Linked DNA regions of Nothobranchius furzeri. The protein of the gene in region 1 binds, or shares a complex with, the protein of each later gene. Links are inferred from orthologs where the notes say so. Each region holds a gene or a part of one and is shown in the gene's direction. Other genes may lie near its edges. The genes, in order: sart3, ccnt1, usp4 and ubiquitin carboxyl-terminal hydrolase 15.

Region 1 (4,251 bases):
CTCTAAAACAAGAACAGTCTTCATAAATGTAATAATTCTTGCCCTACCGATTTCCCCTTCACCCACTCTGTAGCTAAAGAGCTGGAGGCGATGGCGGATCCGCAGCCGAATGTTTTGAATTTTGCATCAGATATTTTGCCATCTTCATCCACTTGGATCTGGAAACAGCATGAATAATACCGCCGGGTGTCGTTTATGAGTGAAAAGTCTTTAACGGCAGTTTTGTTTCAGCTTACCTGAAGTTTCATAACATCACCACAGGCTGGAGCACCCACCAGTCCGGTCCCCACGCTCTTGGAGTTCTTGTCCAAAGAGCCCACATTCCTCGGGTTTTCATAATGGTCCACCACCTTCAGGACAGTTAATTAAATGCATTAATGTTTCAGGACTTGCGTTGACTTCTAACACCACACAAACAAACAAACCGAGGACTTTACTTCACACAAAGTCAATGACATTCTTTGGTCGGTTACCTTTTTATGATATGAGCAAAGAACGGTCAGCTTTGGTCTGAAAAACCTTTGGTGAAATGATGAAAACAGAGAAGAAGAATTTCGCAAGGAGGCAGTCGCCATGTTTGGACGCCGACCGTAAGCGGAAATTAACGAGTGAACCCGAACGACGGCGAACTCTTTCTGTCAGAAAAGTGTTTTCATAACAACTGCGCGCCACTAGCGGTGAATAGTGGCTACTGCAGTTTCCCGGGATGCGTGGTGGAAACGGCAAAACTTTGTAACATATAATTTAATCACTGAAGTGTTTTAAACCTGTAAGATGTTGATGTCAGATGTTAAAATAGTCAAACGTTTTTGTTGATATTAACATTTAATGACTAGAGTGGTATGAATTGCTATTTCATTTTTAATTGCATCTTTGTATAACTAATTTCTTCCCCCTCAAAAACATTTGATATACCGAAACATTTCCATCCACAATCAGCGTTTGAAATATTGAGAATTCCTTAAAAACAATTATAGTTAACATAACTTAATTAATTAATGTGAAATTAGTCTTTATCGTGAGATGGTAAATTATTTATTCAGAATAAACAAGATGGAAACATGAAAAATAAATATTACAGAAAGAAACTCAAATTTCAGACATCTGCAATTCTTTCTGACTTGCTATGAGGCCTGTAAATAAAATAACAATTTATTTTATTCCACCCAACTGAAGTTTTAAGAGTTCCCAGTTATCTTGGATATTTGCATTTATATTGTTTCTACTAATTAGGCATGTTCTCAAATGCTTAAAATTATTTCATATTTGCCGTATCACGGACTAATGAGATTTTAATTTTGTCGTCACTTTTATTTATACCCGTTATTTCAGATTAATGGGATTGAGATGATGCGACTCTCGTTATTACAAATTTTTTATATGATAAATCGGCTTGCCCAACCCACGCCTCTGTTCTTCGGGCTAGGCTTGTTGTTACCAGGCAGACAGACTTTTCAATATGGCAGCGCCAGGCAACGCAGAGCAAACGCAGTTGCAGGATATGGAGGAGGACGAAGCAGGAGTAGAGGAAAGAGAGATGGAATCGGACGAGGAAGAAGGCATGGGTGTAGAAAATTCAGACGACGAAGAGGACGAATCGTCGGAGGACGAGAAAGAAAATGAAGCCGAGATCCAGCGATTGGAGGAGCAGGTAATTGGTCAACAATCCTGCCAAGCCTGATTAGTCAACATTAGCCGTGGAAGCTAATGAGAATGAATGAGTGCTGAACGCAGAAACTCGTGAGGTTTCAAACTCATTGCGTGTTGCTCATCCCTTTATAGGTTTTGATTTAAACCAGAATAAATAGTTCATATGTTCATTAAAACATTTAGGCAACTGCGTAGTTCACGGCATGAATCACACGTCGTGATTAGCCCGTGCTAACCTCCGATGCTAACGTTTGGTCCTGCAGCACGCGCCTTTTTGCGACCTGGGCATGGAAACAGCTTTATACGTACTAAGAACGAGGGTCACCTGTCCTAACTTTAGTGTAACTAATAAACATGTTCGAGCACAACTCACAAGTGCATCATTTGTAGAAATAAAATGCTTTTTCACATGAAAAAAAAAACAAGTTTACTACTACAATTACTGGACTTAGTCTGGGGTCTAAACAATCCGATTTATTTATTTGTTAATGTATTTATTGCTTGTTGCTCCACCCCTACAATTAGGCTTGAATCTTTACATCAGCTGTTTTTGGCAGTAAAACTAACTTACTGGATTGCTTTTTCATTAATTAAAGATCAATAAACTCAAAAAGAAAATTATGTAAAATTAGTTTAATGATTCAACATGACGCTCGTGTCTCTTTTTGCACTTTTGCAGCTTTCGATCAACGCTTTTGACTACAACTGTCATGTGGATCTGATCAAACTCCTGAAGCACGAGGGAGAACTTTTTCGTCTGAGAAAGGCGAGGCAGAAGATGAGCGAGCTTTTCCCTCTCACTGAAGGTTGGTTCACGTCTAATCCAGCTGCCAATTCCAAGGAACCAGCAGCTTTGTGTCGTCTGCCACTGAAATGACATTTTGGTGTATGTTTGCAGAGATCTGGCTGGACTGGCTCAAGGATGAAATCCGTCTGACTGAGGAGGATGCAAATCGGGAGAAAGTGTACGAGCTGTTTGAGAGAGCTGTTAAAGACTACATTTGTGAGTCAACTATACTGCTGTTGTTGAATTTATTCTAACATTCAGCTGTTTTAATGGTCTGAATCATTTTATTCTGTGACTGGTTGAACAGGCCCAGAGATCTGGCTTGAATATGCCCAGTATTCAATTGGTGGCATGGGGTCACCTGGTGGGATAGACAAGGTCAGATCTATCTTTGAGAGAGCGGTAACAGCGGTGGGACTCCACATGACCAAGGGGCAGACGCTGTGGGAGGCCTACAGAGAGTTTGAGAATGCACTTTTGTCTACGTTGCAGGTTTGTGCTGCTCACTGGTCAACCATGTACTCAGTATTTCTAAATAATTTAATAATATTTATGTAGAATGATGATGTTTCTGTATTCTATTGCAGTCTAGATAGATAAGTAAATGTCTTATTTTATTGATTCAAAGCATGCTCTCATATCTATGCCTGGAAAGAATTCCTTTAGATTTTTGACTAAATTGGCTGTTTTTCATCCTAATTTACTCTCCCGTCTTTGCTCTCAGCCTCCCCCTGGCAGGATTCCCAGCCACGAGGAGCAGGAACTGCTCAACAATCAGCTCGAGCGAATCCATACATTGTTTCGCCGCCAGCTGGCCGTTCCACTAATGGGTAGGCATGGCACCTCCTCTGTCCAGATGGCTTCTGCACAGATGGGCTGGCTGGATGTCACGACTTCTTCGATGAACAAGTTTAAATTGCTTACTGCTTTTGCAGAAATGGAAACCACCTATGCTGAGTATGAGGAGTGGTCTGAAAACGGGGTTCCTGAGACTGTCGTCCATCAGTACAAAAAGGCTTTGCAGCAGATGCAGAAGTGCAAATCTTATGAAGAAGCTCTGGTAACTGAACACTTATCTTTTTTTTAAGTGGTTTGCACAAAGTGTTTTTGCAGCGCATGTCATTTCTGCTATATCTTTCTCTAGCTGGTAGCAGAACCTCCTAAACTGGCAGAATATCAGGCCTACATTGAGTTTGAGCTAAAGGAGGGGGACCCACCACGGATCCAGATTACCTTCGAGCGAGCTCTGGCTGAGAACTGCCTGGTTCCAGACATGTGGACTAAATACACCACATATCTCGTGAGTATTGGTTACTGTTCGCAGTCGTGTCATTACAGCATCTAAGGTTTCAGAAGTAAATAAATGAAAAAATCACAGCTAGTCAGAGTGTAAAAGGTCCTTACTGGTTTTACAGGATCGTCAGCTGAAGATCAAAGACTTGGTTCTGTCCACTCACGAGCGAGCGGTCAGGAACTGCCCGTGGACCATGAGTCTGTGGAAGAGCTACCTGTTGGCCCTGGAGAGGCATGGCAGTGACCATCACACTGTGTCAGGTAGCGGCTAGGTTCAGCATCAAGTCGACCAGTCAGCTGCTTTATTAGTGTCAAGCGTTTGTGAAGCAGATTGATGTTAATCTCTTCTGCACAGATGTTTTTGAGAAGGCTCTGAACGCAGGCTTCATTCAAGCCACAGATTATGTAGAAATTTGGCAGGCCTACCTGGACTACCTGAGGAGACGTGTGGATTTCTCTAAAGGTGAGAGCAGATCTGTGTCTAAAACAGTTGCTGTCTTTAAGTTTTAGTCTGATGGCTT
Region 2 (3,048 bases), on another chromosome or scaffold:
TAGGTGAAAAGATGGTCTAGATTCTAATCTAGTAGAACAAATCATTCACATGTTAATATATACCTCTAAATATTAATCACGTTAATATCTAATAATAATTAATATGTACACCTAATCAGGTATATTATAATTAATGAATAATTATCTAATAATACAATAAACACTGTTAAAGCTATTACAATTTTCTCCCGTTATTATGGTTTTTTTGTGTGCTTGTGAAGCAATTTGTGATTTTTATCTAGAGAGGTGCTTTATAATGAACATGTTCTTGTTCTACTCCAAAAATGCAAGGAGGATATCTGAATGTAGAAACAGTTTTCAAATGTATTAATTAACGAAAAATATACACAGTTTTCCCTGCATTACCAAGGCAGGCTGCACGCTTTTCTAAGCCGTCTGATAGTTTTTCATCACTAAATCTCAGCTATAAAGCCTGGTTAGTGCTGCGGACAGCTCCATGAGAAAGACGCAATGTGTGCCATCTGAAAAAATCAAACATTTTTTAAAAGAAAAGTTGATCTTTCAAGTCAACTAAAGTGCACGACTCCGCACTCGCACTGATGAAGCATAAACCAAGCTCTAGCAGCGCTGTGTGTGGAAAAATAAAACAGGGAAAATAACCTAAATGTGCAGCTCTGTCAGCTGGGCTCGGCTCCAGACAGTACACCCCATTAGGGTTGGGCATTGTTTGGTTTTGAACGATTCTGATTTCGATTCCGGTTCCTATCGATTCCAATTCTTTCAAGACATGACATGTTTTAAATGAGCCAGCTAACCACAGGTCCTGCTTGATGAAATTATCTTAACCTCATCATGAATTTTAATTCTATGAACAATAACATCATCTTCATTTAGACAAAAACATGTTTTCAAGAAAAAAAGAAAAAGACTTGCAGCACAATCAGTGTGTTTGTTTCTGACCACAACCAAAGTCTGGAAGAAGCCTCTGGGATGAGAGGCTAAATGTCTCCGACATATCCAGAAACGTCCAGCTGTTTTCTGCTAAAACTCTCAGGATGATCATGTCCAGGATGACTGAGAACTACACCTCCATGCTGCAGCAGCTTCAGTCAGAACAGAGACTGAAACTTAAATGTAGCTGCTGTCAGTAACAATCTAACAGATTTTAAAACTCTTAACAGATATAGTTCAGAAAGGAAATTTCACAACTTTGTGTGTGATTTATTATTATTTATTATTTATTATCCCTTTCCTAGTGGCAGAAGCTGGTGTGGTCCACCACAAAGAAGCTTCTCTAGCATTATGACTTTAATTATTCTACAGGTTATTCAGCCTTCTGACGCTCACACTCACACACACACACGAGTGTTGGTGAGCGGCTGCGTCTGACTGCTGACGTGTGTGTTTTTATTTCTGCAGTGAGACAATCTCACACCATCCAGAGTTTGTTCTTTAAAGCTTCTAGTAAGTCCACTGTGTTGCCGTATTTTAACGTTTCCTCTACGCTGCAGGAGTTAAAGTTTACATTACGGGGTAAAAGTTCGGCAGACGCATTTGTTTATATTTGGCCGCTGCGTGCACGGTTGGGGGAGGGGGGACTTGGTGCTGCAGACAGACAGCTGGTGTGATCAGCTCTGAAAAGCGTTGATCACAATTAGCAGATCACGTTTATTTTTCATGGAGATTGGCCGCGGTTTCCTTTTCCGGTCGGCATACTAAGAATCGAAAACTAGGAATTGAAGTAAAAAACTTTGAACGACTCCATGAAAAACTAACAGTTGGTCCCAGTTCCAATCGATGCTCGATTCCCAACCCTACACCGTATCCCTTCCCCCGCGCTGGCTGTTGCCGTCGCTGTAACACAGGGGGAAACCCCGAATGTAAAAGTTACACAACATATCCTGGATCAGTCAAAACCGCCCCAAAACCCCAGCTTTGACGATCATGTGATCGTGCTGTTTGAAATCGCAATTTCGGTCCCAAAAAAAAAAAAACGATAGATCGTTCAGCCCTAGGTGACAGCCCCATCTAGTGGACAACTTTTGTTTCTGCGCACACCTGTAGTTATTGTCCATTTATCGTTATCGAGGTGAAATGCTCAATATATAATGATATTGATTTTAGGCCGTATCGCCCAGCCCTACTTGAGTTTATCTTAATTTTTAAAATCTTTTGCAGAACTTACTCACGAGTTCCTTCAAATCCTGGAGAAAACACCCAGTCGGCTGAAACGCATTCGCAACTGGAAGGTACACGTTTTATTTTCCCACCCACTTGATACAATCTGGTCTTTCTGCAATTTGTAAATTTTAATGAACTTTAATCTTTGACTTTTTGGCATTTTAGGCTGGCGGTCAGACACCCAAAGTCAAGCCAAAGATTCAGGAAGATGGCGACCAGAGGGACACCATGATCAACATGATTTCTATGGCTTCATCAGAGAGTACTGTAGCGGGCCTGTTGAGCCTCTCAGCTCCACCGTCCACCTCCTCTTCATCATCTATCAGTGACAAGGACAGGGCTATGCCCATTAGTGCTCAGACGTGGAGTGGAAAGGGTCAGGCTGGAACTGAGCAGCAGCAGCAGCCCAACCATGAAGTGCACACCCCAGCAAAGGTATCCCTGAGTGAGTACCGTGCCAAAAATGCTGATGTCCTGGCAGCACAGAAGAGAAAGCTTGAGAACATGGAGGCCAGTGTGAAGAGGGAATATGCAAACGCAGCCCAGGCTCTCATTGGCCAGCAGCAGAGAAAGGAGAAGCAACAGCATCATCATCACCAGCAGTCCAGTTCCTCTTCCTCCTCTGACATGCCCAACCCATCACCCATTATTCTTAAAATTCCCTTGGAGAAGGAGAGGCATCTGAAAATGCGTTTTCCACACACCGGAGCAGTCAGTGACGCCACTCGAGGTCAGGATCCAGACATCAAAGTAAAAATACGAGTGCCTGAGAAGCAAAGAGGGAGTTCTGGAGAGGAGGGCAAGAGTAGCAGGGACAAGCACAGGGACCGTGCATACCATCATCACCATCATCACAACCATCATCCTCACCACCATTCCTCCTCTTCTAGCAGTGCTTCAGTTTCT
Region 3 (4,192 bases), on another chromosome or scaffold:
CTTCAAGTACACCGACACGCACGACAGCCAGATGCCGTAAAGCAGCCTCCGCCTCCCAGACAAACAGAAGAAGACGCCGCATGGCTACATTGCAATTTCCCACGCGAGTTGTCTCCAATCCAAGTTTTGTCTGCCAAATAAATAAACAAAAACATAAACAGCGAATTTGGGAGGCGCTTCACAGCCCAACTTAATTAGTCCGACATGTAGTTGTATATTCACGCTTATGTGCTTAAAGGAAACTCCCGTTTATTGCAACCCGGCCTTAATTTCTAGCATGCAGTACGTTTGTTTACTCACGCTGACAACTTTGGTGCTACTTGGATTCCCCGGGGTATTTACCGTAGGTCCATCACCAAATCGCCGTCAGCGTATATCCATATAACGGGTGCGGACGGGCACCCATGGTGCAGCCTCGAAATAGGACATTATCTGCACCAAAACATCTTCATGTCGAAAGGTTTTGTTAGGAATCATTAACGTGATTCCCCTGTTCGTTTGGAGCGGGTCTGGTCTGGGATTTCTAGGCGTAAACAGACTAGCTGCGGCTAATCTAACCGGCGCTTTTAATGACGTCACTGCCGTGCGCCAGTCTGTTTTTATTAAGATTACCGGTAGATGTACCTTTGTCCTACTGTGGAGAAATTTGTTTTCTCCCTTTATTGACCAACAGAGTTGTTCAAAAGTACAGAACAAAACATATGGCATTACAGCTTATGACAAAAATGCACCTTAAACAGAGTTTAAGCAGCAAAACATCACTCTGCAAATAGTGTATATATAGTGAGACAATTCATGATTTAAAATGTTAACTTTCACCAGTTTTTGTATGCACGTTTTAAAAAATGCTGATACTTTAAAGGTTTAAGCACTTAATACACTTAATTCTTAACATTTAATTTTTGTAATATAATGTGAGGAATGTTATTTTTTGAATAAACTTGTTCGATAAATGGGTGTTTTTAAATAGTATCGAAATCGAGTATCGGTTTTTGTCCAAGTATCGAATCGAGTTTGAAATTTTAGTATCGTGACAATCCTAGTACATACTGTACATAGACTGTACATACTGACTGATGGTTGCTAAAGAGCTGTGTATAAGCTAAGCACATTTAAAGAGAGGTGAATGGAAGGACAATGTGATTAAAAAAAGTGTACAAGCCACACCCTGGAGAGGATTGTGAAACCAAAACCATTAAAAAATGTGTATGTACCCCAGCTTTCAGTCTTATTTGTGACAGAGAAGACACTTCTGGTTCTTTTTGCAAGTCACGTTTGTAGTTGTGGACCCCTAAAAGTAAAGCTCTAGAACCGCCTCTGCTAGAGGGGAATAGGGGATGAAAAGAACACAGCTCGTCCATGTGCTTAGTTTTAGCGCGTTCACGATACCGGCACACTGGCTGCATGATGGCTGAGGGAGGCGGACCCGATTCGGGTAGCGCGGCAGACTCCGACTCGGAGCCGGTAGCCGCACAAATACCTACCCCATCAACGGAAAATCAGAAACAAACTATTGGGTCACTATTGAAAACAACTTTAAAAAGAGGGGACGAATGGTAAGAATCAGCTAAGTTCAACCCTATCTGAGGCTCCTGCGTTAGCTTGCGAGAAACCGGAAGTGCTAACATGCTACAGCTAATAGGCGTATAAAGCAATGAAACAGAAAGCTGTATTGCTAAATAGCAAGCTAATGTAACATGGATTAGCACGCTAGCTGCTAACCAAAGCTCTTCACAATTTCTGTTACATGGAGTGTATCGTTAAGGAATCAGCTATTTTGGCTGGGAGCAGCAGACTAATCACGTAAATAACATGTTGTTGAGTAACACAAAGTTATCTCGTTTTGTAATACGTTATCGGAGCCAACCGATGTGCTAGCTAGAAGGCCCCGTAGTCAGATGATTCGAGTCCAGCCGGCTTGTTGCTCAATCAGGTTCGCTGATATGATATGGCATTTCTTTACTGTCACTCTTTTCACACCGTTTTAAATCTTTAAGAGCATCCAGGCCTGGTTATAACGTAGCTAGGGCATTGAAAAGAGCCCATATTTCACAAATTAAGTATTATCGTGGAAAAATCTATACGTGCCTATAATTAAAGTAAAATAAAAAAAATCAACAACTTCAGTTTAGATAATAAGCTGTGAGATCTAAACTAGGTAACATGTGTGTTCTCTTAGTTAATATAAGGGCATTAACATAGAAAATACAAACGGTTAACTCTTTAGCTCCACGTTTGTTCAGTCACTCAGTTATTAGTAGATGACCTTTCACGATGCTACACTTATCCTGGCTTTAATCAGACACAGTTTAATAAAACCTAACGTGTCAAAGGGAACACAAGACACGGACATACCTGGGACATTACTGAATGAATGAATGTTTGTTACTAGATATCTCTTGAAGCCAATTAACTAAAGGTGATTCTTTAGACGAGATTAAGTAAAACTGGCTTGCTGTTACTATAACTGCCAGGGAATTGTGGTGTTACATAATGTTTTGTGTCTGCAGGAGGCAGTGGTTCTTATCCTTTATCCTGTTCTATATTCATTATCTGATAACTATAGACATTGGTGGTTATTATTTAGGGTAATTCTTGAGGATCGTTGTGTTCATTGTTATTTACGTAATAACAATTCATTCATTTGTCCTAGGTATCTAATAGACAGCCGGTGGTTCAAACAATGGAAAAAGTATGTGGGGTTTGACAGCTGGGATATGTACAATGTTGGAGAACGTAGCCTCTATCCGGGACCAATTGATAACTCTGGACTATTCTCAGGTATTTTATCAAGAGTCCTGTCTTGTTTTATTTTTAATCTTTCCAGCAGCCCCCGTTAAAAGTTGGTGTATTATTTATTTTTGTCTCCTAGACCAGGACACTCAGGCCCTGAAAGAGCACCTTATAGATGAACTAGACTATGTCCTTGTACCCACGGAGGCATGGAACAAGCTTGTCAGCTGGTACAGCTGTCTCGAGGGCCAGAAACCAATCGTCAGGAAGGTAGTCCCATTGAAGAGTTGTCTTCCTCTTTCTGTTTCACCAAGCTTTGCAAGGCGTTGACTGTCTCTGGCCTCTAGGTGGTTGAACATGGCATGTTTGTGAAGCACTGTAAGGTGGAAGTCTATCTGCTGGAGCTCAACCTGTGTGAGAATGACAACATGGACAACGTCATCACGCGCCATTTTAGTAAAGCTGACACCATAGGTAAGAATTACTGTGTGATCTCAAAGTGAACTTAAAGCAGATGCTGACAGCCCTGGTTCATTATACGTGTTTGTTTCCAGATACAATAGAGAAGGAGATGCGGAAGTTGTTTAATATCCCTTCAGAAAAGGAGACTCGACTCTGGAACAAATACATGAGCAACACGTATGAGCAGCTGAATAAGCCAGACAGCACTGTACAGGATGCCGGACTCTTCCAGGGACAGGTAGTTTTAGTTATTCCAATGACCTTAAAGAACACTGATCCACTGAAACAGCACAACCTTTGTAGCATATTAGTACTGTCTGCATAAATTATTCATTCACAGACATAAAATCAGAAAAATGATGGAGCCTAATGCAAAGCAGCTCATTAGCCCTGCAGTGAGACGTGCATTATTGTTTATCTTGTTGAGGAGTAGCTTTGGTTGGGTTGTTAAACGTTTCCTGTGACTTTTTTTATACGTTTGGTAGAGGTAAACAAGAATTGTTTCACTTTTAACTTAAATAGATGCTGAACTTTAGCCTAGTGAACTAGACCAAATTCTTGCTTTGCAAAGATTGGTCTAGGAATGCTCCACTGGAACCTCAGCAGCTCCTACCAGGACTCTGGCTAGCCAATCACAGCTCTCTAGAGGGGGTTCAAGCACATAAAGAGCTGTGATTGGTCCATAATGGTGGGCCAATCATAGTGCTCTATCTGCTTAGTGAACAAATCACAGAGCTTTATCCGCTTTGTGGGCCAATCAGGGCACTCTATGTGCCTGGTGGGTGGGATGATGCAACAGAGTGAAACAAGAGTATGTCACATTCATTGTCCAGTGGAATGCGGAGATCATTTGAAAGACAACGGTAGAACCCGCCCCACAACCGAGAGCCGTCAATGGAGCGTGGCCAGACTAAATAATACATTTATTTAGTCTGGCTTGCCAGGCCAGCTGAACTTGGTAAAAAGAAAGGATCTCATCAGGTTGTTGCCCTTGGTT
Region 4 (4,081 bases), on another chromosome or scaffold:
ACTTATTTTTTGCACAGGCATTTGTTTAGTGTGAAGTAAAGTTGAAGTGCTGAAGTTTTGAAAACTAATTTTGAATGAAACTTGAAGAATAACTGGCAATTGCGTGCTCATTTGAAGAGGTCTTTCATATTTTATAACATGCTAATTTATATAATGGTTTACAAACACAAAAGGGTCATTTATTAGAGTACTCGATTAATTGATAAAAGATTCAATAGAGTACTCGATTACGAAAATATTCGATAGCTGCAGCCCTAGTTCATGCAAACTTGAGTAATAAAAACATCAGATATGGATCTGATTTAGGGTGACAGAAAGCAGAGTGAATCTGATTTGTCCTGTTCTGACAAACAAATGTCAGATCTGTATACTGGTAAGAAATTTATTTTCAAACATACTCACTTAGATAATCATTCAGTCAGAGTTACATCATTAATCCATTCATTTTTTCTCTCTCAATGTCTTAAAATTTGTTTGATCTCCAAAGTGTTTTTTCTTGATCCTACTGGCACAAATCTAATCCCATAGCAATGGTCCATGTATTAGCATCTTCTTGAACACTATTAGATAGCTCGGTTCTGGGCTGCCCACTGGATTCAGTATAGGAGATGTGTGATAGGAGGATGGGGAAGATGACCTCCATTTAAAAAAAAACCTCCCACTGTGGAGACCATGGACAGCTCCTGCAGAGGCAGATGGAGACATCCCAGACGTAAAATGTCACTTTTACTTGTCAAAATTTAAATGAAAGCTATACTCACTTACATTCTTAATACAAACATTTTTCTCAAGTATTTTAGGGATGTCTGGTATTGTTGTAGATGTCTAAAATGAGGGATTAAATGATAGATATCGGAAATAATAATTTTCTTAATATGAGAGGAGTTCTGTTTAAGACATCTGACAATTTTAATCCAGCTAATTAGAGTAAAAACCCAACTTGCATACATGAATTTGGCTTTTTTTTCAGTTCTTGAGAGCTAAAGAAAAATTTCCACCACGGTGGACAGTTAAGTGTCATTCTATTCTATTCTATTCTATTCTATTCTATTCTATTCTATTCTATTTGTCCTGTAACGATTGTTGGAGCTATCTGAATTTTTTTCCAGGTCGCAGGTATTTATTGCTCTCTAATATGTTTATTTTGACCTAATGGAATTGAATGACAAAGCACCTTTAGCCTATCTTAAATGTGAAAAGAGCTTGCCACACCTTCCTCTGCACCGCTGCTTGGCTCCTGATTGGTGTCAGTAGATCAATTACGCTCAACGTGCGTCGATGACGCCGCACGCTTTTCCCACCATGCAACGTTCGAGTAAAGATGGCCGAAGGAGGAGCGGCTGATCTGGATACTCAGAGAGGAGAGATCACGACACTATTGAAAACACAGCTTAGGAAAGGGGACACCTGGTAAGGCATGAACCGAGATCTCTCTTGAGGGACTGCGTGGCCGCCGCCTGGCTCTGCTGCGAGTGACAAAGCCACAAATGTTAGAAAAGCCGAGGTGACGGGCCGTGTTGACAGTGAGGCGTTTGGGTTGCTAACGAGAGCGTTCCAGCTAACCGCTGGCTCTGGTCAGTTTAAATGAAGAACTGACTCTTAACGTTTAAATTCTGAACTCTACGCGCAATTGTAATCCGTTCTAAACGAATAATGTTGTTTTTATCTGATTTCATGACCTTAACAATACTAAAGAGCCTGTTGGGTAAGTAGCAGGCTAATTTAGCTACTTGGTTAGCATGTGTCGCTCCAAGTGATTTTCCAGTCAGGGGGTTCGTCTGTCGACTTTAGTTGGGCGGAGTCGGTAAAAAAAAAAACACCTGTCAAAATCTCAGAGCCAGCTGGCTGGGATTGCAGCAATCTGAACTCCACCTACCGTCAATAAATCAGCTGTTGGGTGTAGTGTTTGCCTCTCAGAGTCTTTTAAAACACTGTTGTTATTGAGTAAACCGTGGTGGTCTCCTCTAGGTATTTAGTGGACAGTCGCTGGTTCAAACAGTGGAAGAAATATGTGGGATTTGACAGCTGGGATAAATACCAGATGGGGGACCAGAATGTTTACCCCGGACCGGTGGATAACTCTGGCCTACTCAAAGGTAAGACCGGTGAAAACTCAAACTACTAAACTAGGTCCTACATTAATATTTCTGTTTACCTGTTGTTTGTTCCTCTTTCTTCAGCTGTGGTTGATTACCATCGTGCATGTTTTAATATTTAGTTGTTTCAGAGAATATCTGTCAAAGTCAGTTTAGGTAGGTTTTTCTAGCAAATAAATACAGCAAAACAGAAGATTGTAAAGTTCAGTATTAATAATCTAATATTTTAATAATTGTGTCTCTGCTGAGTGTCTTCATTCTGAAATTACCGACAATTTCAGCAAAATGGAGACAAAGCTAGAATTGTCTACTGACTTCATAGAAGCTCCCCAGCCTACCTTTTGTTTTTTTGTGTGAGAAAGCACACAGTCAGTGATGCGTTCTTTGTTCTGATTGTGTTTCTCGTCCTCTCCTTTCATCCCTTGTTCCCTCTCTTTCTAGATGGGGATGTGCTGGCCATCAAGGACCACCTCATCGATGAGCTCGACTACATCCTGGTCCCTGCCGAAGGCTGGAATAAACTTGTCAGCTGGTATGGACTGTCAGAAGGTCAGGAACCAATCGCACGCAAGGTAAAGGTTCAGAACCCTGGAAGGGCATTTATTGAGTGTTAGTGATGGAGAGATAAGGCAGCTTTTCTTTAATGGACTGTAAGAGTCTTACTAATGGCTGCTGCTTTGTGGTGGAGTCCATTGAAATGTTTTCTGTCTACAGAATCAGTTTGTTTACAGGATGATTCTTACATTTCAGCGTAAAAACAAAATATTTCAACCAGGATTAACAAAGATTATACAACATTTAGATGAAAGATCAGTATAAAATATAATTAGTTTTTTGGAATACATTAGGATTGCAACTTAAGTATTAATTTCTCCACTTCAGATTTTGCTAATCATGCCATCATGGCTGCTGGAGGAGGTCGTCCCCCCCCCCCCCCCCCGGCACCACTGTATTCCTCTCTTCGTTTCCGTTGACCCTCCCTCTTTTCCCATGTATGTCATGGCACGTATCGGGTGGCTACAGGGTTTCTATTTTCAGGCAACGTTCTGGGTGACTGTAAAGCTACATGGAGCGGTCTACAAGACACAACATGCAGGAGGTTTATAAATAATCTGTTTTTCTCTCTTTTTGAACTTATTTTGCCATCCTGTGCTGTGGGAGAGTGCATAAGTTTGAGTGGGATTCAGGAGGACTGCTGTCAGCGGGTTCGTCTTCCACAGTCCTCAGCTGGTGTTGCTGTTAACACCGGTGGAGCGTTCTTGAGCCCTTGTTTTTTGGAGTGGAGGAATTCCTGCTGAGGTCACTCTGAGAGTAGCAGCGCGAAGGATTGAGAGAGGAGTGTGACCAGTATGGGAGGAGGAATGGGGTGGGTGGGGTAAATAGTTTTTAACTGAGCTCTAATTTGAGGAATTCTGTTAGAGTTTGGCCCTTGGGTTGTACTTACGTCCTCTCGATTTAAAATGGCACTGACTTTTTCTGAGCAGCTCTGTCGGCCCAACAGAACATCCAGGCTTGGTTCGGGGCAGGGCTGGAGGTGATGCATGACCGGTGCAGTTCTCAGTGTCGTTTGTGAAAGTAGTACTGTGTGTGTGTGTATATATATATACATGCGTGTGTGTTGGAGAGGCTCAGTGGTGAAATAAATAGGTTCAGACCCCCTCAGCTGTTTCCACAAGGTGCTGCTATAATTAGATCTTCACTCTAACTCCGATTTTGTCAGAGGACTTGATAAGTAGCAGCCAGGGCAGCAGATTGGACTTCTGTTTGTTGCACAAATCTAGATAAAAAAAGACTATTTAAATGTGTTGTTTTATTTTTCTGCATTTACTTTATTTAGTTCAGTATAACAAGCAGGAACCTGCAGCCTATAATGGTTTGGATTGATCATTATGACACTAGATTTAATCTTTTGGTGATAATTGTTGTTTGATAATCATTTGTTTTGGCACAAATGCTCTGCTCCACTGTAACACCAGAATGCTGGA

Evidence for each region.
Region 2: sart3 (region 1) and ccnt1 share a complex: the UniProt entries of both Homo sapiens proteins name them as parts of the 7SK snRNP complex. The link is inferred for Nothobranchius furzeri from reciprocal best matches to the Homo sapiens genes SART3 and CCNT1.
Region 3: the proteins of sart3 (region 1) and usp4 are in contact, whole or in part, in a crystal structure (PDB 5CTR), measured with the Homo sapiens proteins. The link is inferred for Nothobranchius furzeri from reciprocal best matches to the Homo sapiens genes SART3 and USP4. Residues at the interface, in NP_055521.1 of Homo sapiens: Asp437, Ser438, Ser439, Lys440, Gln490, Arg493, Glu494, Trp496, Asp497, Met500, Thr501, Ala505, Trp511, Tyr514, Lys529, Arg533, Cys537; in NP_003354.2 of Homo sapiens: Met24, Thr27, Leu28, Ser53, Trp54, Glu123, Gly125, Leu126, Phe127, Val128, Lys129, His130, Cys131, Lys132.
Region 4: the proteins of sart3 (region 1) and ubiquitin carboxyl-terminal hydrolase 15 are in contact, whole or in part, in a crystal structure (PDB 5JJW), measured with the Homo sapiens proteins. The link is inferred for Nothobranchius furzeri from reciprocal best matches to the Homo sapiens genes SART3 and USP15. Residues at the interface, in NP_055521.1 of Homo sapiens: Ser438, Ser439, Lys440, Glu443, Gln490, Arg493, Glu494, Trp496, Asp497, Met500, Thr501, Ala505, Trp511, Tyr514, Arg533, Cys537; in NP_001239007.1 of Homo sapiens: Ser23, Leu24, Asp48, Trp50, Gly121, Met122, Phe123, Val124, Lys125, His126, Lys128.

What each region holds. Positions count from the first base shown.
Region 1 is NC_091757.1:45,779,611-45,783,861, forward strand, and holds the start of sart3 (squamous cell carcinoma antigen recognized by T-cells 3), read left to right. Parts: upstream 1-1,417; 5' UTR 1,418-1,459; coding exon 1,460-1,651; intron 1,652-2,329; coding exon 2,330-2,456; intron 2,457-2,548; coding exon 2,549-2,653; intron 2,654-2,744; coding exon 2,745-2,929; intron 2,930-3,161; coding exon 3,162-3,267; intron 3,268-3,372; coding exon 3,373-3,497; intron 3,498-3,581; coding exon 3,582-3,737; intron 3,738-3,852; coding exon 3,853-3,991; intron 3,992-4,085; coding exon 4,086-4,193; intron 4,194-4,251. Other genes in the region: iscua (iron-sulfur cluster assembly enzyme ISCU), read right to left, coding at 48-158, 237-350, 474-575. UniProt on the Homo sapiens protein: U6 snRNP-binding protein that functions as a recycling factor of the splicing machinery. Promotes the initial reassembly of U4 and U6 snRNPs following their ejection from the spliceosome during its maturation.
Region 2 is NC_091755.1:57,570,717-57,573,764, reverse strand, and holds part of ccnt1 (cyclin-T1), read left to right. Parts: intron 1-2,139; coding exon 2,140-2,210; intron 2,211-2,307; coding exon 2,308-3,048. UniProt on the Homo sapiens protein: Regulatory subunit of the cyclin-dependent kinase pair (CDK9/cyclin-T1) complex, also called positive transcription elongation factor B (P-TEFb), which facilitates the transition from abortive to productive elongation by phosphorylating the CTD (C-terminal domain) of the large subunit of RNA polymerase II (RNA Pol II).
Region 3 is NC_091743.1:47,676,906-47,681,097, reverse strand, and holds the start of usp4 (ubiquitin carboxyl-terminal hydrolase 4), read left to right. Parts: upstream 1-1,364; 5' UTR 1,365-1,404; coding exon 1,405-1,556; intron 1,557-2,653; coding exon 2,654-2,781; intron 2,782-2,872; coding exon 2,873-3,003; intron 3,004-3,080; coding exon 3,081-3,207; intron 3,208-3,287; coding exon 3,288-3,433; intron 3,434-4,192.
Region 4 is NC_091741.1:53,834,359-53,838,439, forward strand, and holds the start of ubiquitin carboxyl-terminal hydrolase 15, read left to right. Parts: upstream 1-1,276; 5' UTR 1,277-1,321; coding exon 1,322-1,410; intron 1,411-1,968; coding exon 1,969-2,096; intron 2,097-2,537; coding exon 2,538-2,668; intron 2,669-3,055; exon of another isoform or gene 3,056-3,162; coding exon of another isoform or gene 3,163-3,195; intron 3,196-4,081. UniProt on the Homo sapiens protein: Hydrolase that removes conjugated ubiquitin from target proteins and regulates various pathways such as the TGF-beta receptor signaling, NF-kappa-B and RNF41/NRDP1-PRKN pathways.